Linked DNA regions of Stegostoma tigrinum. The protein of the gene in region 3 interacts with the protein of the main gene of each other region in a biochemical or structural test. Links are inferred from orthologs where the notes say so. Each region holds a gene or a part of one and is shown on either strand. Other genes may lie near its edges.

Evidence for each region. The genes of interacting proteins can lie anywhere in the genome.
Region 1: the proteins of mast/stem cell growth factor receptor Kit-like (region 3) and matk form a complex in vitro, tested with the Homo sapiens proteins (2 studies listed by BioGRID). The link is inferred for Stegostoma tigrinum from reciprocal best matches to the Homo sapiens genes KIT and MATK.
Region 2: the proteins of mast/stem cell growth factor receptor Kit-like (region 3) and yes1 form a complex in vitro, tested with the Homo sapiens proteins (2 studies listed by BioGRID and IntAct, with this or other methods). The link is inferred for Stegostoma tigrinum from reciprocal best matches to the Homo sapiens genes KIT and YES1.

What each region holds. Positions count from the first base shown.
Region 1 is NC_081383.1:29,642,452-29,650,537, reverse strand, and holds the start of matk (megakaryocyte-associated tyrosine-protein kinase), read left to right. Parts: upstream 1-5,074; 5' UTR 5,075-5,313; intron 5,314-8,086.
Region 2 is NC_081358.1:79,796,582-79,803,624, reverse strand, and holds the start of yes1 (tyrosine-protein kinase yes), read left to right. Parts: upstream 1-4,031; 5' UTR 4,032-4,381; intron 4,382-7,043. UniProt on the Homo sapiens protein: Non-receptor protein tyrosine kinase that is involved in the regulation of cell growth and survival, apoptosis, cell-cell adhesion, cytoskeleton remodeling, and differentiation.
Region 3 is NC_081354.1:108,017,485-108,024,488, forward strand, and holds the start of mast/stem cell growth factor receptor Kit-like, read left to right. Parts: upstream 1-4,002; 5' UTR 4,003-4,064; coding exon 4,065-4,116; intron 4,117-7,004. UniProt on the Homo sapiens protein: Tyrosine-protein kinase that acts as a cell-surface receptor for the cytokine KITLG/SCF and plays an essential role in the regulation of cell survival and proliferation, hematopoiesis, stem cell maintenance, gametogenesis, mast cell development, migration and function, and in melanogenesis.

The DNA of each region.
Region 1 (8,086 bases), on a different chromosome or scaffold from region 3:
CAGCCCAGCTCTGCATCCAATCAATGTCCCTTTGTAACCTAGAACAGCCCTCCGCACTATCCACAACTCAATCCACAACTTAACCCACCTTCGTATTGTCCACAAACTTACAAATCCACCCTTCCATTTCTTCATCCAACTCATTTACAAAAATCACAAATAGAAGACGACCCAGAACATATCCTTATGGTACACGACTCACAACTGAGCACCATGTTGAATATTTTTCACACACCACCACTTCTAAGGGTCAATGAATTCTGAATCCAATCTGCCACATGTCCCACTATCCCATGCCTCCTTACCTTCTGCATGAGCCTACCATGGGGAACCTTATCAAACGCCTTACTTAAATCCATGTACACCACATCCACTAATCTACCTTCATCCACATATTTGGTCACCTCTTCAAAGAATTCAATAAGGTTTGTGAGGCATGATCTACCCCTCACAAACCCATGCTGACTATCAAAAACTAAACTGTGCGTTTCCAAGTGATCATGAATCCTCTCTCTGAACGCCCTTTCCAATAATTTGCCCACCACTGATGCAAGACTAACTTTCCGGAGTTACTCCTTTTTCCTTTTTTGAACAAGGGAATGATGTTTGCCTCTGCCTAATCTTCTGGCACTTTACCCATGGACAGTAAGAACAAAAGGATCATCGCCAAAGGCCATGCGATCTCTTCCCTTGCTTCCCATAGAATCCTTGGATAAATCCCATCAGGCCTGGGGGACTTATCCACCTTCAAGTTCCGCAAAATTCCTAGTGCATCTTCCTTACTAACATTGACCTCCTCTAGCCTACTAGCCTGTTTCACTCCGCCTTCCTCTACAACTAGGTCCCTCTCAGTTGTGAATACCAAAGTAAAGTATTCATTAAGGACCTCTCCTATCTCTTTAGGCTCCATGCGCAAATTCCCTTTACAATCCTTGATCGGCCCTACCCCTTCTCTGGTCATTCTCTTACTCCTCATGTATGTGTAAAAAGCCTTGGAGTTTTCCTTGATTCTATCTGCCAAGGTTTTCTCATGCCCCACCCCCACCCCCATAGCTCTCCTAAGCCCTTTCTTCAGTTCCTTCCTGGCTAACTTGTATCCCGCTACAGCGTTTTCCATTCCTTGTTTCCTAAGCCTTATGCAAGCCTCCTTCTTCCTCTTAACCAGTCATTCGACCTCTCTTGAGAACCAAGGCTCCCTCACTAGATCGCATCTTCCCTGCCTGTTAGGGACAAAAATATCGAGCACACGCAGTAAGCAATCCTGAAACAGTCTCCACATTTCAATAGTGCTCTTCCCTGACAGCATCTGTTCCCATTTTATGTTACCCAGTTCTTGCCTAACAGAATTATAATTACCCTTCCCCCAATTATAAACCTTACCCTGCTCTATGTACCAATCCTTTTCCATGACTATTGTAGAAGTAGGGGAGTTATGATCGCTATGCCAAAATGCTCTCCTACCAACAGGTCTAACACTTGGCCCGGTTCATTGCCAAGCACCAGATCTAATCTCTTCATGTTGGTCGATCTACATAGTATGTCAGGAATCCTTCCTGAATGCACTGGACAAAATCCGCTCCATCTAAACTATTACAGCTAAAATATTTCCAATCAATATTTGGAAAGTTGAAGTCACCCATGACTACAATCTTGTGACTTCTGCACCTTTCCAGTATCTGCCTCCCAATCACTCCTCCATTTCCCTGCAGCTATTAAGGGGTCTGTAAAAAACCTCCAACAAAGTGACTGATCCTATCTTGTTCCTGACCTCGACCCAAACTGACTCTGCAGGCATATCATTCTCGAACTGCCTTTCAGTAGCTGTTATACGAGCCCTGACTAGCAATGCCACTCCCCTGCCTCTTTTTCCAACCTCCCTATTTCTTTAAAAGCATCTAAATCCCAGAACTTTCAATAACCATTCCTGTCCCTGATCTACCCAAGTTTCTGTAATGGCCACAACATTGTAGTTCCAAGTACTGACCCACGCTCTAAGTTCATCCACCTTATTTCTGATACTTTTAGCATTGAAGTATACTCACCTCAAACCATCTCTGTGTCCACAATTACACTCCATCAACTGCATTTCTTTATTAACAACCTCACTCCCTGTTGTGTCTGTTGGAAGGCTGAATACCTCATCCTCTGAATTACAAATCTGGTTCCCCACCCCCTGCCAATCTAGTTTAAACCATCCTGTACAGCTCGAGCACACCTCCCTCCCAGGATATTTGTGCCCTTCCAGTTCAGGTGCAACCTGTCCTTACTGTACAGGTCTCACCTTCCCCAGAATGTGCTCCAATTACCCACAAAATGGAAGCCCTCCCTCCTACACCAGTGGTGTTATCTTTATGTGTTTTATTTATTGCACTACAATTAGTTCCCACTTCCTATGTCCTTTGCTCCAAAATCTTGATTCCAATCTCCATAGTATAAACTGAATGTCTCATTGCTGTCCTGTTTAGATCCAGCCACATGTTTAGCTGCAGTCACTCCCTATTTCTTACCTCATTATTGCGTGGCACTGGTAGTAATCCAGGGATAACTACCCTGTTTGTCCCAGACTTCAGCTTCCAACCTAACTCCCTGTACTAATTTTTCACATTCTCAGTCCTTTTTCTATCTACACCATTGGTACCGAAAACACGATCCGAGACATCACAGACCCTGGTACGGAGGAGGCAACATACCATCCAGTCATCTCATTTGCATCCACAGAGCCACCTGTCTGTGCCTCTTACTATCGAATACCTCACTACAATTGCTCTCCTATTCGGCACCCCCCCCCTTCCCTTCTGTGCCATAGAGCCAGGCTCAGTGCTAGAGACCTATCCGCTATGGCCTTCCCCTGGTAGGTCTTGCTCCCAACAGTATCCAAAACAGTACACTTATTATCGAGGGGAATGGCCACGGGGGGATTGCTGCACTGTCTGCCGTTTCCCTTTCCCCTTCCTGACAGTCACCCAGCTTCCTTTTTCCTGTACTTTAGGAGTGACGACCTCCTTATACCTCCTCTCTATCACTCCCTCAGCCTACGAATGATCTAGAGTTCATCCAGCTCCAGCTCCAGTTCCCTAATGCGGCCTGGGAGGAGCTGGAGTTGGGTGCGCTTCTTGCAGGTGAAGCCAGAGGGAGCACCAGCAGTGACCCTTACCTCCCACATCCTGCAAGAGAAGCCTGCACCTGCCCGAGCTTCCATAGTCTACTTGTTGAATGCCTTTCTGAAGCCCATGTAGGTCACGTCCACTGCTTTGCCCTCATCAATTCTGTTACTTCTTCAAAAATCTCAGTCAAGTTAATGAGATTAATCAACCAAATTAATGATGAATCAAGTTTTAATTTGATTTGATTTATTATAATCACATGTACCTAGGTACAGTAAAAAGTTTTACATGCAATACATAACATTCAAGGATTATGGGGTGATTGAACAGAATACAAAAGTTATGGCTACAAAGAAGCTGCACAAAAAGCAAGATCAACATTCAGTTTGAAATTTCAGAGGTCCATTCAGAAGTCTAATAACAGCAGGGATGTTCTTGAACCTGCTGGAATGTGTGTTTAAGCTTTTGTATTTTTTGCCTGACAGAAAGAAGAAATTATAAGCGGAATGGGAGAGGTCTTTGATCATGTTGACTGCCTTTACTATCCAGTTTTACAATCCAGACTTGTACTTTTTATGTATACATCTGTCCACTCCTACTTTTGTACCCTCGCGGTGTTATCCTTATGTGTTTTATTTATTGCACTACAATGAGTTCCCACTTCCTATGTCCTTTGCTCCAAAATCTTGATTCCAATCTCCATTGTAGAAACTGAATGTCTCATTGCTGTCCTGTTTAGATTCAGCCCATCATTCCTCTGCTAAAGAGATTCTGGGCTCATGCAGGGCTTGAGTCAGTAAATCTCTCCACAGTTCAACAAACCACCAACCTCCATGTGAGAGTAATTTGCAGGAAGTGAGAGGGTGGGACCCTATGTCCCTGTCACAGTCAAGAGAGGAGTGGGTTGAGAGAAACTATTTAAATTATCACATAAATAGAACAATTGTTTTTTTTTGTCTTGATAATGCATTTTTTGCAAATAATCATGTATGTCATTTAGAACAGATGTCCCTGTGGTTTCCTGTCAAAGAGCTCAAAATGTCCATATCCTGTAAAATGTCATGCTTCTATCAGGCATCAGGACATATTGGGCTGCACAGTGGCTCAATGGTTAAGCACTGCTGCCTTACAATGCCAGGGAACTGGGTTTGATTCCACCCTTGGGCATCCTTGTAGGGTTTGCCCATTCTCGCTGTGTGTGAGTTTCTTCTGGGTGCCCTGGTTTTCTCCCACAGTCCCAAGATGTGCAGGTTAGATGGATTGGCCATGCTTTACCATATGGGATGAACCCATAGTGTCCAGGGATGTGCAGACTGGGTGGGATAGCCATAAGAAATACAGGGTTACAGGGATAGAATAGGATAGGAATGCTGGTCTGATGCTCTTCAGAGGGCTGGTATGGACTCAATAGGCCTGCTGTAGGGATTCTATGATTCTGTGTTATTGAAGGAGTGCTGCATTGTCAGAGGAGATCATTTCTCAGCATGTTCAGGGCATGGGTAAGTTCTGTGGTAGCGAGAACGCCTTTAATGCAGAAAATGGCGTGCCCTGACTGAGTTTAATAGTGAGCAGAAAGGAGACATTGACTGGTGAGAAAGAAAGTCCTATGCAGAGTTGCTGCTAGACTCAAATTCCCCGACTGAGATGAATTAGTGACAGGTTGCCACCCTAACAACTTAACCTCACCGACCTGACTATAACCGTGCGACAGCTCGCAAACCCCTGTTAGCACACCTGCCCCTGAGTTGGGCAAGTGCACTTATCTCAGGTGGTTCCCTTTAAATCAGCGGCAGGAATTTCAGCTATTCCTTACTCAATAATATTATCACAAACGCCGTTGTTAGCTCCAGATATTTATAGCCAAAGTAAAATAGTCTCTGCAAATAAGTTTCAATACATTCTGCAATGCCACAGCTCAGATCAAAAGAGGAAATGATCCAACCCATCAGCTACCTACAGGAAGAGACCTTCTTTAGTAAATGTAATGTTGAAAGACAAATTAGTTCGCGTGCTACGCTCGACGCGAATTCTCTGCATTGCCTTTTCTGCCCATGTCGAAGTGAAATGCGACGGTAGAGAATTGGCAGTTGCTGTTCTGTTGGCGATTACTCGATATCACTTCAATACCAGTAATTCACAGGCTTCATCTGACTGCGAGCAACCCCCAGCCCTGAAGCTAATCACTGAATCCGCTGCAAGACGCTGTGCGGTGAGTACCTGTCTGTGTTGCAATCTCTGTTTTGTGTTATTTGGTGAACCTTTTTTTTAAAGAAAGATTGGTTTGTAATGACGAAGACCACAAACTTTTTGCAAGGTCGTCCTTTACTGAAACTATACTAATGAAATATTTCCCTTTTTTTTTCTCGCGGTGCGATTTCAACAATGGAATTGCGGGGGCGGGGGAGCGGAAGGTTATGACTCCTTGAATAAAATATTAATGAGAAACAAAAGGGCAATTTCTACTGCAACAACGCTGCAAAATAATTAAAACTGACAACCAGATGAAGGAAGCGGTTGTGTTTACGTAATTCCAAACTGGAGTTTTGAGTCAGCAGACCAGAAAAGATTCAAGAGGGTTGGGCAGCAAGGCAGTTTTGAGGTCCTGGGAGGCTATCTCTTAATGTGTCTCTCTGGGATACCCTTTCAAATCACTCCCAATTCTCAAACAGGTTATTGTACATTATTTAGTTCACTAGTGCTCTGTCTGAAGTTCTGATGCCCTCGTTTCACTGGTCAGTTCTTACCCCCACAAGGATTCTGCTTTTATTTATGAGCTTATATATTTAGAATCAATTAACTGAACTTGACTTTGCTTCAGAGGAAGTTACAAAAATTTACACGGAAAATACCCAATTCTGTTTTGTGAAGTTGCACTGACTTGGCAGCCAGAATGTGGCATCGCAGAAGTGTAAAATTGAAGAAATATTAACAAAGATTTTACAAATCACAGCAATTTGTGAAAAATCATGCCCAACCCATTTGGTTGATGCAGCTAAGATGCCACTGGCTGTCTGCTTGTTTGGCAGTCTGGAGTGCCATGCTTCTATGTGGCGAGCACCATTCCTGTAGAAGCAACTTTTTCAGGGAAATGGTCAGAAATCATACACGCAACACCACAGGGAAGTGAAATTTGACGGAAATTAGCAGCATTTAATGTTTAATGAGAAGGACGTGAAATGAAAGCGGGCTGTATAAATGGGGCCATCACTAACTAAGCGCTACGCAGAATTGTAGGAGTGTAAGTGAGAAAGTTGCTCAGTAATATCTGATGACTATTGAAAGTGTGACTTGTTACCAATAGTTTATGAGAACCTTTAAATAAAGATGCACTTTTGCTCCAATCTGGTTGCTGGCTCACTTAAGCAAATCCTGTAATGTTTTGCTATAATTAATTGGATTTCCATTTTTGATTCATTCATGGGATATGGGCATTGCTGGCTGAACTAACATTTATTACCAATGCCTAGTTGCCCTTGAGAAGATGGTGGTGAGCTGCTTTTTTGAGCCTCTGCAGCCCATACAATGCAGGTATATCTCGTTGGTGACAGAGTTCCAGAAATTTAGTCCAAAGACAGTGAAGGAGCAGCGATATATTCCATTGGAGACGGTAGTGATCAGAGGTTTGGAAGCTGTTGTTGAAGGCACTTTGGGAAGTTTCTATAGTGTACTTTGTAGATGGTAAACCCTGTAACTACTGAGCGTCAGTGGTGGAGGGAGTGGATGTTTGTAGATGTGGTACCAGTCAAACGGCTGCTTTGTCCCAGATGGTGTCAAGTTTTTTGAGTGTTGTTGGGGCTGCACCCATCCAGGCAAGTGGGGAGTATTCCATCACACTCCTGACTTGTGCCTTGTAGATGATATGACAGGCTTTAGTGTGTCACTCGCTGCAGAAATCCTAGCCTCTTATCTGCTTTTGTAGCAATAATACTTGCATGGATGGTCTGGTTCAATTTCTGGTGATTCTTTTTAACTTCAAAAATATACTTCATTCATTAAAAAATGTCTTTGTATATATACATGGTACCAAAAAGCATTCTGATTTTGTATGATAGCATGTCAAGGAAACAAACATTGGCGTTTGATTCTATCCAAACAAATCAAAGACAACCCTTGCATATACAAAACCTATATTTGCATGCATTTGAGGCACCACAAGGGTCCGATAACTGATCAGTTAATCATTTAACTTCATTCAAACAGTGGTTTGATAGTGGAGCAGTTAGTCTTTCCTCCTTTTCTAAGCTCAGTCTAATTAATATTGTTAAAGAAGTGAGAAATGTTCCATCCCACATCGCACCATGCTGCACCTGGTGAAAAGGTGACTTGGAGGATTGCAAGACTCTGACATGTCAAGTTCATGTTTGTACATTAATATTTTTAAATGAGTGTTTAAAGATATAGTTTGTGACAATCTTCAAATAGTGATGTACTTTGCTGCAATGTGGTGCAATATTTCTCAAAATGTAGCAGGAAATGAGATATTATTTTCCTCCTCCCAGATATATGGCGACATACATAGCTTAGAGTCTTAGTCATAGACGTCTACAGCACAGAAAAAGGCCCTTCAGCCCACGGAGTCTGTACTAGTCAAAAACAACCAGTTACTTTAATCCCTTTTTCCTTTCTTGGCCTGTAGCATTGTGTGCGTTTTCATTGCAAGTCTCATTTCTCCAGTCAAAGTGAACTAAAGTAAATAATCATTCATCACTTCTTAATCTGATACGACAGAGTGAGTGGACTGGAACATAAACATCAGCCTGGGCTGTTTGCACCAAATGAACTGTTCAGCGTCATATATCCTAACTAACCCTAGGTAAAACTTTAACTCAGAATCATTTACAGCTACCAACTATGTTTTTGAGCCCAAGATTTGGTCTGCTGTCTAGAATAGATAAAAATGGCCCCTAGCTTGGTGCCAACCTGCTACTCCATTCCAGGAGGACCCAAGTGTGACTGTGCTCTCTCATTTCCATCCCCAGGTC
Region 2 (7,043 bases), on a different chromosome or scaffold from region 3:
CATTCTTTTGAAGTTTTCACATCCTTTCTAAGTTGCAGTGTCCAGAATTGGACGCAAGTCCAATTGAAGTCAACCCAAAATTTTACAAAAGATCATATCTTTTTCTTGCTCTTGTACTCTATATGCCTCTATTTACAAAGCACAGAAACTCATAAATACTTTTTTTTCTACTCTCTTAATCTGTCTTACCAACTTCACTGATTTTGTGCATGTATAGCCTCAGGTCTCCATAAGAATACAAGTCATAGGAGCAGATGTACGCCATTCAGCTCAACGAGGCTACGCTACTCCACCCTTCAATGAGATTGTGCCTGATCTAATAATCATCAATTCCACTTTCCTGGCATTTCTCCATAACTCTTGATTCCCTCATTGATTAGAAATGTCTATCTCAGTCTTGAATATGATTAATGACTCAGCCCTAACAGTCTTCAGTCGTAAAGAATTCCACAGATTTACTGCCCTCTGACAGAAGACATTCCTCATCTCTATCTTATATGGACAATCCCTTACTCTGAGACTAGGCCCGCTAGTTCTAGACTCGCCCACAAGAGGATGCAACCTTTCCATATCTACCCTGATCATTGCCTGAGAATCTTAAATGTTCCAACAAGGTTGTCTTTCATTTGTCTACGTTCAACCCTGTTCCATCGCCCCACTTGGATGTTTTAATTGTTTTAATTCTCTCATGGGATGTGGGTAGTGTCAACAAAGGCAGCATCTGCTACCCATTGCTAACTGATCTTCAGAAAGCAGAAATGAGCTATATTCTTGAATTGCTGTCGTGATGTAGTATAAATACATCCAGAGTGCTGCTGGAAACAAGTACAGGATTTTTGGCCCAGAGATATGGTTCCAAGTTAGACCTTGGAGGAGGAACTTGCAGATGGCGTTGTCTCCATCTGTTTGCTAGTCTTGACCTTCTCAGTGCTAGAGCTATGCCTTTTAATACTTCTGGCACTTTTATAACACACATTGTTTTGGCCTCCACTGCTTTTGGAGATTGTAAATTCCACAGGCTCATCACTTGCTGTGTGAAGAAATATCTTCTCTTCTCAGACCTAACTCACATCATTAGACTGTGACTACTGGTTTAGGGATCCCCACCATCAACAACATCCTTCCTGCATCTACCCTGTAAAGTCCTGTTAGCATTTTATAGGTTTCTATGAAATAGTCAATCATTCTTCTGAATTCCAGCAAATATAATCCAAATTTATTCAACCTCTCCTGTTACATCAGTCTCGCCATGCATGGAATCAGCCTGATTAACCTTCACTGAACTACAGCAAGAACATCCAACATCAGACAAGGCCAGATTTAAAATGTATTTTATTATATCTTGACCTGACCTAAGACTTTATTATTATGACTTCTAATATTACTTCTTAATGTTATGTCATCTGCTCCTACCAATTTGTGCACCTTTGTTTATCCTTCCTAACCTTACATCCTCATTCCCATTCCCCTGGTCAAATCAGTTTAAAGCCTGTGCCAAAGCATTAGCAAAACACTTTGTAGAACTTTGGTCCCAGATCTATTAAGGTTCAAAGCATTTGCAATTGTCTAAGGTAAATGTTCTAAAAGGGTTAAAGATGGCTGCATTAGCTACACACAACCTGATGATGGTCTGGAGTCCTGGATAGGGAAATTGGGAGAACAGCTCTGATTTGGAAGGAGGCAGATTTATCATCAATGTATCCCAATTGTCTGAATAGCAATGGCTAACTACCTGATTGCTATTACACAATAAATTGCATAAAGTTACATTAAGAACCTCTTCCTGATTTTTAATTTTTTCTGTTCAGTCCTTCCCCACCTACATCCACAATTCTTGTGATGTTTTACATCAGTTTCAAAATTTCCAGTTCACAGGCTCCAGCCACTTCCTCTTCACCACGGACATGTATCCACTTAATGCCTATTTCCCCATCATGATGGTCTCAAGGTTCTCCACAACTTCCTGGAAAGATGGCCTGAACCGTCTCCATCCACCACCATCCTCATTTGTCTGGCACAGTTCATCTTCGTTTTGAACAACTCCTCCTTTGACTCCTGTCACTTTCTTCAGATTAAAGATGTGGCTATGGGTCCCAGTTATGCCTATCTGTTTGTGGGGTACATGGAACATTCCTACTCTGGCCCCCACCCATAACTTTTTCTCTGGTACATAGTTGACATCATCGGTGCTGTTTCCCCCTCTTATCTGGAATTAGAAAAATGTATCAATTCTGCTTCCAATTTCCACCCTGTCCTCACTTTCATCCCTTCCATCTTTGATTCATCTCTTCCCTTTCTTGACATCTCAGTTCCCATTTCTGGGTATAGGCTGGCCACCAATATCTGTTACAAACCCACCAACTTCCACAGTTACTTCAATTATACATCCTCACACCCCGTTTCCTGTAATGGCTCCATCTCATTTTCCCAGTTTCTTTTTCTTTCTTCACATTTGCTCTGATGATGCCACATTCCACAGGAGAGTTTCCAGCTGCCTGCCTCTTCAACAAACCTCTATGCCCCACACCAATGTTTCTATTGCAGGCCTGCTGCAGGTCCCAGCAAGCCTCAAAGCAAACTCAAAGAACAACATCTTATTTTTCACTTTGGGATCCTGCAGTCTCTAGGATCCAACAGTGAATTTGATAACTTCAGAGAGCATGATTCCATCTTCATTGTTTATGACATGCTCCATATCCAGTTCTGTTATGATATAGTTTACTTTTAGCACAAGTCACTCATTCTCACGTACTTCTGGGCCTATTGTCATATATGTGTTGCACTCAGAACAGCTCACCCATTTTCTCATTCTTAGCTATTCATTATCCCTTATTCAGGTTTTCTTCTGTTCTCGCCTGCTATCAATAATCTCCTCATTTACCTATCTCTTTCATATTTGTCTCACTCCCTCTGGGCTCTGTGTCCAACTATCCATTCACCGCTCCCCTTACCCAGACCCCTTCACCCAGATTCTGGATAAATACCAGATTTTCTAGGTGCTACCGTTTCTGATGAAGAGTCACCAAACTCAAAATGTTAACTCTGCTTTCTTTCCACAGCTGCTGCTAGACCTGCTTTATTTCTCCAACAATTTCTCTTTGTTTCAGATCTCCAGCATGATTTGTTATTATTTTACAATCTTCAACTGTAAAATTAAAAGTACTGTGAAAACAGCCAGATGTCCTCTTACACTCAGATGGAAAAGAGAATAGGTTCTGACGAAGGGTCACGCGACATGAAATTTTAACTCTGATTTGTCTCCAAAATGGACCTGCTGAGTTTTTCCAGTAATATCTGTTTTCATCAGAAAATAGGTTGCCCAGCATCCTTCAACACACAAATATCCCAAGACAGAATGCCAGAGTTACGGAATTATGGTTCGAAAGGAAGCTGCTCAACCCTTGTCTGTCTCATTTATTCCCACATCCTTCAGAACCAGACCCAGTGGCGTGACTATTGCAAAACTGTCCTCACTGGCCTTCAAACTTCTTCAACGTGAACTTATCTTCAACATTCGCCTATCACTCGTTCTCTACACTGATTCTCTGTTCACTAACAAGTCAAATTTCAAACATTCATCTTTGCATTCCTCATCACTATAACTCCCACCTCCTCATCCAACCTGTTTAATTAACAAAAGAACAACAACGGCAAAATGTGAAACATCCAGCAGTTCGTCGTTGTAGGGGACAGGGTGCGGTGCGGACCGGATCCGAAGCTGGTGGGGCGGGATCACAACTGGAGACATTAGTTAAGGGGCGTGTCTGGGCGGGTTTGCAGGTCCACGAATGGGATATTGGGCGAGTGGATAGAGGCGGAAGTGCCATGAGCAGTGGGGGTGGAGTGACGCAGGACGTAAGATGGAGGGGCGGGGCCGCGGTCGAGGCGAAGCCGAGGCTGGGTTGGTGTTGAAGGGGCGTGATCATGAGGGCGGGCCGAGGAGGCGGGGCCGACGGTGGAGGGGGCGGAGCCGTGCGTGCGGTGCAGCTGGTGGAAGAGGTGGGGCCATATGGGCGGGCCGATGGTGGAAGGGCGGGGCAAAGGCGGAGGCGGTCTCTGCTCCCTGAGGAGCCGCCATCTTGTAGTGAAAGCTTTGCATCTTTAAGATAGTCGGCGCTGCTGTGAGTATGGTTTAGATTTGGAATACGGATCTTGTGTTTGGGAGGTTTAAGTTCGGTTCTAGCTGTTTGTTTCGTGTGGATCTGGCTCGGGAATGAGGTGATGATGATGATGATGATAACGGAGGACCTGTGAGTCGGGCCTAGCGCCGAGCTGATCGGATCATTTGGTGGAGCCACTCCGTCCTCTCCACTCGGCTGCCAGAAGAGTTGTTAAAGTGATGTGGATGTGAGGAGACGACCGAGTCCCGACTGGAGAGCAGGTGAGTGACGCCTTGGCCCGGTTTTGATTGCGAGCTACTGGAGTCCCTGTCTCCGGAAAGGGTCTGTACCCCCCCCCCCCCCCCAACTTCACCCCTTCCACATCCTCCATACTCCTCAATCCACGATTACTCCACCTCCATTGCCTCTCCACCTCCTACCAACATCAGCCCTCGCCCGCGTTCTCTCAACTGTCGCTTCCCATTTTCGCTCTCCTCCCCTGCAGCAGCCCCCCAGTCCCACAAATTCCCTTGCCCCATTCAAATCTATTGCCATCTCACACGCTATCCCCAACCCACCCTGACTCCTCCTCATATCCCTATCCCACCTCCACCTCATCCTATCCTATTTTCACTAACCGTTATGTCACCCCATTCTCCATTCTCACCTTTGGTTGCTAATCTCCAGCTAGGCTATGAATTTTAATCCCACTTGCTAATTTCTCCACTCAAGTTTCCACTCCGTACCTATCCATTTGTGCAGAACAAATCCTCTGTAATGGCATATTGAAATAAGTGACCAATTAATATTTGTTGTTGTCGATGCAGGGATTGAATGTCATTATGCCAAAGAGTTCCCTGCCCCTCTGTCTTTTACATCCACATGTTGGATAATAGAAGCAGTTTGGTTATATCTTTTATTTAAAAGACAGTACCTTGAGTAATGCAGCAATCCCTCAATTCTGCATTTCAACGGATTGTGTGAATTATTCAAGTCTGTCAAAAATCTGGCTTTCAGGTTAGGTACCTTCGTGTCATTGTGCCTCATATTGATGCAAAATGAGTGATTTTTACTGCTGAAAATTTCTGAAGTTACAAGTGTACGTTCCTGACATGGACTTCTAAAAGTTGGAATGCATAACTGTTTCTGGAAAAACTGGTTCTGTTCTTGTGGATTGTTGTATGATGTTTACTGATTTTGGTGTACCCATCTATTTAAGACTTGTGTAAGTTATTTGCTTTGGTTAAATTAGGTTTGTCACAGCAGAAACCCCTCCCTAAACATATTTGTTATATACAACATTAGTCATTCATGGGTGTCTGATTTAACTATGGGTTTATAAGCCACAGTTAGTACACACTCATTAAAATAGTTTTCAACTTGCTGGTCGGATATAACTTATTAAAGTGGGAGAACCAGTTAATTTAGGACCAAATGATAAAATGTATTTCGTGATCTTTTTAAATGATAACATGGCCTGTATTTTGAAATATGCAAGTTTTAACATGTTAAAATTCACAGTAATTTGTTTGTTCCTTGTTCATCCATACACTCTTGAGTAGTGTTATTAAGCCGTTAAATTACCATCTAGCTATTGGTTCCACATATTTAATGCCTTGTTATGAAATAGTTGAGAATGAGTGTAAAACTTGACTGTTTTCATAGTATCCAGCTGAATGAAACAACTTGGGCTTTGGTTTTCTTTGTCCCTGACCTTGATGATCAAGATACCTTAGAATGGATCTGGACTGAGGGTTATGCATTGAAATTAGACCAAAAGTATATTGTCTGAAATGACCATGACTGATCCTTTTTTAATGTCATTCCCTTGTGCTCCCTCCCCATACCCTTTAATGCCTGTGTCTGGTAACTTATCTGTTTCTTTTTTAAATTACTTAGCAACTTCACTTTCACAGTGTTACATGATAGAGAATGGTATATGTTTACCACTTCTTGAAGTCATTTTTCTGCTTTCAGCCCAAAAATCCTTAATCTGTATCTGAAAACCATGTGCCATTGTTGTAGGAACCCCGCTTTGTCATAATGTTACACACTTCACTGAGATTCAGTCTTATTCTTCTAAACCCAATCTCTTCTCGTATGACAAACTTTGTATCTCAGCAATCAGTCTGGTGACCTTTAACCGTATTCCCTGTCTGGCAATTGTAAATTTCCTTAAATGAGGCCACCAGAACTGCACACACTATTGTAAGTGATGTCTCACGAAGGTGCTTTACAGCCACACTAAGCCTACCTTGCAATGAAGGACAGCATGCCATTTACTTTCCTAACTATTTGCTGTACCTAATGCTTGCTTTCATGGTCCATTGTAGTAACAGTGCTAGTAGAGGAATGGTTAAAGCCTCTTTAGACAGTGATGTACAATTTCTTGGAGATCAGAGCCACAGGAGGTTGACAAGGTGCCTGACAGCTCCAGCCTTGATCACTTCCAAATTACAAATTTCTTGGACTTCCAATATGATGGTGAAACAGAACATTGTGAGCAAGACAGCCCTGGTCAGCAATCTGTTCATCTGGAGAGTGGTCATCAGCATTGCAGAAAGGAGACAATGGTTGCGAAGCTGTCCATTAATGGAGATCAATGTCCAGATCGGTTGTACATGTCAGAGTAGGTAATCCCTGAAGCGTCATGGACATAGTGATCGGGAAAAGCAAAATTTGTTCTGATTGTTTGTTTGTCACATGACTGCTAGTGTAGAAAGTTAACTATATTGTTTTGTTTTTAATGTTTATAATGAAGGCATTTGTCTTGGATTGTAAAAGCATCTCCTCATATGTGATACATTTAGGTGATAAAATCTACTTTCATCTAAGTAGCTTCAATTTAAGTAGTGGTTTCCTGGGGCATATTTATTTCTTAAAATGGTGTATTCCTGTATTCTAATAAAGAAAACCGGGTTCTTTATATAACATCTCACTTTT
Region 3 (7,004 bases):
TTGAAATTTAAGAAAAAAAATTCTGGTTGGCTCAGGGATAAAATGTGCCTCTTGGCTTTAATAATAAGCCTAATGCAATGACATCCCAATGAAAGTGGTCAAGATTCCAGGCACGGCAATGTAACTGACTCTTAACTTGTCCTCTGGGTAATTGGGGATGAGAAATAACTGTTGGCCTAGCCAGCAACGTTCATATCTCATGAGCAACTTTTTGTTAAAAACTTGTCTATGGGCACCTTCCTGCCTCCAAAGTAATAATAGGAGTGTCTCCGACTCCAAGAAATGGACTTGAACATTCTTCCATGATTAAATGGGCCCTGTGGCCATGTTTCTTGTCATATTGGCCTGGGTTTAATCCAGTCCAATGTCTTTTCGCTGTACTTAATACACAGTCAAACTTATTGCTATTTACTGACCCCACCAAATTTTGTGTGTTCCTCTCTACATGTGCATTGGCTCAAAATAGCTTCAACAATATTGATGTGAACTATAGTAACTAGTTTAATCATCAGTGTCTTGTCTAATAATTATCTCTCAATCAACATCATTAAAAAGTGAGATTATCTGGTCATTATCATATATTTTCATGTGGGCCTTTGGTATGTGCAAAGAGGTTTCTGCAGTTCCTATGTGAGAACATAAGAGACAGGAGCAGGAGTAGGCCATCTGGCCCTTTCAGCCTGCTCCACCATTCAATAAGATCTTGGCTGATCTTTTCATGGCCTCAGTTCCACTTACCCACCCTCTCACCATAACCCTTAATTCCTTCAAAAAATATCTATCTTAGATTTAAAAACATTAAATGAGGAAGCCTCAACTGCTTCACTGAGCAGGGAATTCCACAGATTCACAACTGTTTGGGAGAAGGAGTTCCTTCTCAGTTCAGTCCTAAATTTGCTCCCCCTAATTCTGAGGTTATGACAGCTTGATCTGGTTTCATCCACAAGTGGAAATAACCTCCCTGATTCTATCTTTTCTATTCCCTTCATGATTTTACATGTTTCTTTAAGATACGCCCCCCATTCTTCTAAATTTCAATGAATATAACCCCAGTCTACTTGGCCTCTCCTCATAAGCCAACACTCTCAACTCCAGAATCAACCTAGTGAATCTCCTCTGCACCCCCTCCAGTGCCAGTGCATCATTTTACAAGTAAGCAGACCAAAACTGTACACAGTACCCCAGGTGTGGCCTCACTAGCACCCTATACAGTTACAACAAAACTTCCCTGCTTTTAAACCTCATCCCTCGAGCAATGAAGGACAAAATTCCATTTGTCTTCTTAATTACCTGTTGTACCTGCCAACCAACATTCCGCGATTCATGCACCAGGATATCCAAGTCCCTGTGCACAGCAGCATGCTGCAATTTTTTACCATTTAAATAATAGTCCTTTTTATTGTTATTCCCACCAAAATGAATGACTTCACATTTATCAGCATTGTACCCCTGCCAGACCTTTCCCCACTCACGTAAACTGTCTATATGCCTCTGCAAACTTTCAGAGTCTTCTGCACACTCCAGTGTCATAGAATCATAGAATCCCTACACAGTGGAAGCAGGCCATTTGGCCCATCGTGTCCATGCTAACCCCCGGAGACCTTTCCACCCAAACCCACCCCATCCTTGTGATCCTGCATTTCCTGTGATTAATCTGCTTAACCAACACATCCCTGAACACTGTGGGCAATTTAGCATAGCCAATCCATCTAACCTGCACATCCTTGGGCTGTGGGAGGAATCCGGAGCACCTGGAGGAACCCATGCTAATCCAGGGAGAATGTACAAACTCCACACAGACAGTTGCCGAAGGGTGTAATCAAACCTAGGTCCCTAGCTCCATGGGGCAGCAGTGCTAACCACTGAGCCACCGTACCAGCCCAAGCCGCCTGTAGTATGAGTGTGACTAAATTTCAAGTGTTTTGGCCTGTAAACCACACCTGGAGTATTGTGCGCAGTTTTGGCCTCCCTACCTGATTCAGAGTATCTGAATATGCGCTGTTCACCCTCCCAACCAACTTTGTGTCATCTGCAAACTTGGAGGGATTACATTTAGAAGAACATAAGAACTAGGAGCAGGAGTAGGCCATCCGGCCCTTCGAGCCTGCTCCACTATTCAATAAGATCATGGATGATCATTTTGCACACTCAGATCCACTTACCCGCATTCTCACTGTATCTCTTAATTCCTTTATTGTTCAAAAACAATCTACCTTAGCTTTAAAAATGTTTACTGAAGTAACGCCAACTACTACACTGGGCAAGGAATTTCATTGATTAACAACCCTCTGGGTGAAGAAGTTCCGTCTCAATTCAGTCCTAAATCTGCTCTCTCTAATCTTGAGGCTATGCCCTCTTGTCCAAGGTTCACCTGCCAGTGGAAACATCCTCCCTACGTCCATCTTATCTATTCCCTTCATAATTTTATATGTTTTTATAAGAACCCCCTCAATCTTCTGAATTCCAATGAATATAATCCCAATCTAATCAGTCTCTCCTCATAAACCAACCCCCTCAACTCTGGAATCAACCTAGTGAACCTCCTCTGCACCCCCTTCAGTGCCAGTACATCCTTTCTCAAGTAAGGAAATCAAATCTGCACGCAGTACTCCAGGTGTGGCCTCACCAGCACCTTGTACAGCTGCAACATAACCTCTCTGCTTTTAAACTCAATCCCTTTAGCAATGAAGGACAAAATTCCATTTGCCTTCCTAATCACTTGTTGTACCTGCAGACCAACCTTCTGTGATTCATGCACAAGGACACCCAGGTCCCTCTGCATAGCAGCATGCTGCAACTTTTTACCATTCAAGTAATAATCCCTTTCACTATTATGCTACCAAAATGTATGACTTCACATTTATTTACATTGTATTCCATCTGCCAGACCTTTGCCCACTCATTCAATGTATCTGTGTTCCTCTGCAAAGTTTCACAGTCCTCTGCACGCTTTGCTCTGCCACGCATCTTAATGTCATCTGCAAACTTTGACACCCTACATGTGGCCCCCAACTCCAAATCATAAAATGCTCTCAACTAAGTCATGAACATATATTGTGAATTAGAGGTCAAGCACTATTTCCCGCAGTGGGCTATTAGTCACCGCATGCTTCATCAAAAAGAACAGTTTATTTCTTCACTTTATTCCAGCTAGCTCTCTGTCCATGGCATTATACTACCCCAGTCTCATATGCTTTAGGTTTACATGCTTGTCTCTTACGTGGAACTGTCTTGGAAGCCTTTTGAAAATTTCCTGAGATAACCAGACAAACTATTCACAATATCCTCATGCCTTTAGTTTTACACTTAACTCTATGATTAAACTGTGGGTGAACTGCTGTAATGTTGCCTTACGTGGCTTGGTATCTAGTTACTTTTTAATGGTTAGATGCTGGAATCCAAGGTAGACAGACCTGATGCTGGAAGAACACGGCAAGCCAGGCAGCATTTGAAGGGAGAAGTCAATGTTTTCGATTATTACCCTTCTTCAGGACTGTGCTTCTGTGAAGATTCGGGACCTGTTAGAATGCTTAGGAGGTTAAACAAGTTGCGTCCGCAGTTCTCTCGGTTTTTATTAAGTTGCTTCTCCTGTTGGAGAAATGACGAACTCTGAATGTTGACTCGGGTTCAGGATGTAGAGTAAAATGGGCAGAAGCTTCACTCTGGGGGATTGTATTGGGAGGTTGAGAGATTCAGAAGGAATGATAATCACTTGAGGTGGTGCCAATTTCCGTGATGAAAGGGACAGGAACAAGAAGCCAATAATGCAGGTAAATGCCTTGGGAATATTCTTTACTCAAGAATTCATTATGTTAGTTTCGGGTAACTTTATGAGATTATTAACGCCTATCTGACGGTTATGCAAATAAATCCACAACAACAAAGCAACAGTGTCAAACGAACGAGCAACGAAACGCGTTGCTCCAGTCAGGCTGAGGAGCGAGGGGGAAGCGCGTCAGCGGGAGCTGTGTGTAAAACTGGTGCGAGGGGAGGCAGGCGGCATTGGGACTGATTAAACTCAGAGCGGAACAGGCAGCTCATCACTCAGTGTGTTCCCGCTGCCAATGGCTCAGCGCTGGCTTGCTGCTCTCCTGCTTATTCTGACTGCTCATCAAGGTAAAAGGCTGCTTCTCACTTACGGAATGATTGGTCTGTTTAATTCGCTCACCTTCACATTGTCTATGAGGGAAAGCCCGGTTTGAACTGTGGAGCGATGGAAGAGAAACGAAGGAGGGAATGTCTGGATGAATGAACCTTCACATACCGATTATATTCGCCCGGAGGTTCGATCTTTCAGACCGTCCCCAGTTAACAGGGTTACAAGTGCTTTTGACATTTGAACAAACGTGTTGCAGCTGCATTTAGATTTAGGGAGATGTTATAAAAAAGACTCGGAAGTTGGATTTTTCTTCCACTAGTTTGAGAATATCTGAACACATTCAAACCTAATGTCTCCGTTTTCCTCTCTTTCAATGATAATTAGATTCGATTCCCTACGGTGTGGAAACAGGCCCTTCGGCCCAACAAGTTCACACCGCCCCTTTAAGTATCCCACCCAGACCCATCCCCCTATAACCCACACACCCCTGAACAGTACGGGCAATTTAGCATGGCCAATCCACCTAATCTGAACATGTTTGAACTGTGGAGGAAACCCGCGCACCTGGAGCAAACCCACGCAGACACAGGGAGAATGTGCAAACGCCGCACAGACAGTCGCCCGAGTCTGGAATTGAACCCGGGTCCTTGGCGCTGTGAGGCTGCAGTGCTAACCAGTGATAATCCCGACCTCTGACTATTTGTATTCCTGCCTCTCTCTGCTCAGATCCTCAGGTTCACTTTCCCGCGAGTGCTGTGTATTCTAGGTGGAAGGACATTATTTTTGTGAGACAGATGCACAGAGAAGGGACTGGGAAAGTGTGTTTTTGTTACGTACCTCTGCTGAGACCGCGGTAGCAGGGAGAATTGCTTGTCTCGGAGTAAGGAAGTTACAGAAGTGCATAGGACACCCCAGGCAAACTGAGAAAGGAACAACTAACACCCAGGCCAAAGCAACTTCAATGAACGGATTAACAGCAAGGCAGAAATGGAGGGAAGCTTTTAACGCTGATGGGGTCCTCTGTTTGAATTTTACTGTCTTTTTCATATTCAAAGGGTCAGAAATCACACGACACTGAGTTAGAATTGGACTATAATCTGGTGTGTGATTTCTGACCTTGTCCACCCCAGTCCAACATCATATACAAGTGGGTCAGTGGAGGGAGTCGCGGACCAAACGTGGGATGCAACAGAGATAACGGGAACTGCAGGCGCTGGAGAATCTGAGATAACACGGTGTGAAGCTGGATGAACACATCGGGCCAAGCAGCATCACAGGGGCAGGAAGGCATGAGTTTTCGGGTCGGGACCCTTCTTCTGCGTTCATCCAGCTTCACACCGTGATGTTTTAGCAACGATTGTTTGCATCCTGTCCGAGCGGTAAATCCCGTTGGATTGAAGTTTTCGGCTGTGAGAGTGAAGCTCCCTCCGCCAGCTCTTACACTGAGCCGTTCTGTCTGTTGCACCGATAACGTCTTACGCCAGAGCAGTCAGGCTAGAAGTTTGCCTGGCGCCAGCCCCAAACCTGGTGGAAGTCAGGGGTATAGATAATGAAGGGGTGTTACTGAGAGCTCTGTATTGATTTGGGTACAATGTATTGTTGTATTGTTCTTACTGGTGTCTATACCCTTTTCAACTCATCTTTATCTCTCTGTATCATTGCATCCTGCTACTTCTCTCTACAAAGTCTCTCTCAGGCTTCACCATAAGTGTATCTATGTTGCCCTTCAGAATAATTTTTCTAATTTCCGATCGCGGGACCTGGGCGTCACTGGTTGGGCCAATGTTTGTTGTTCATCCCTGATTGCCCTGGAGAAGGTAGCGGTGAGCTGCCCTCTGGAACTGCTGTCGGCAATACCTACGGCGTCGTTAGTAAGGGAGTGCCAGGAGTTTGCCCCGACGACACTGAGGGAACAGTGACACATTCCCAAACTGGGATCATATGTGGCTTGGAGAGAAACTTCCAGACAGTAGGATTCCCACGCCCACATTCTTGGGACTGGGGTGGAGGTTTCAGATTTGCAAGGTGCTGTCGAAGGAGCCTGCATGAGAACCTGCAGTGAATCTTGTAGCTGATACTCATCCCCACCCCCCAAATTGTGCACTTCTTAAAATGTTTGGCGGTGAGTATGTATATTACGTAGTGACCTGGATTTCCTGATGGCTATACAGTCATTATTCCCAGGCAGATTGGAGTTGCATCTGGGAAACTTCCGGAATCCCGATAATAGCAGATCCCGAAGGAATGGCCCGGAAATTGAATTTTCCGTTGGGTCATACCTCTACACCAGGACCCATCCGAGATTCTCAGTTTAAATCGGAGACTTTGAAGGGTTCAGACGAAATTAAGTAAAATAACTGTTCAGGAAAGGTTAGACTATTAAGTATAGTTGAACTCCTGAGTGACATTCGAGAAAATCCGATCCTTAGCTCAGACACCACAACTACACTTTCCCCCGACCCGTTGAGTCCAAATCCCCCAGCCGCCCTACAGCAGCCAGGCCTGACCCACCTTCCGTGCTCCCCCCACCCACATGTCGTAGGATCTGAACTCACCCCACAACCCCCACTCCCTAAAACCCAGGCGCTGTTAAACCCTCCCCTCCCCATGACCACGGCTGGACCCTGATCTCTGCCCTCCCCACCACCACCACCAGACCGAAGCCCGAGTGACCCTGTCACAGTCACCATCAGACCTCGGCCTGATCCCACAACCAGCCTCTGAACCCATTCCCCATACCCGCTGCTGCATACTGTCGGGCTTGAACCCGGTCGGCTTGCCCCTGTGAGACACTTCCCCTCCTCTTCCACTGACTGTGGAGCCATAACCAAGCTAAAGCCGTCATCCATCCTCTCAGAAATGCAGAGTTCCCTTCTTTCTTGCACTGAGAGATTACCACTCCTTG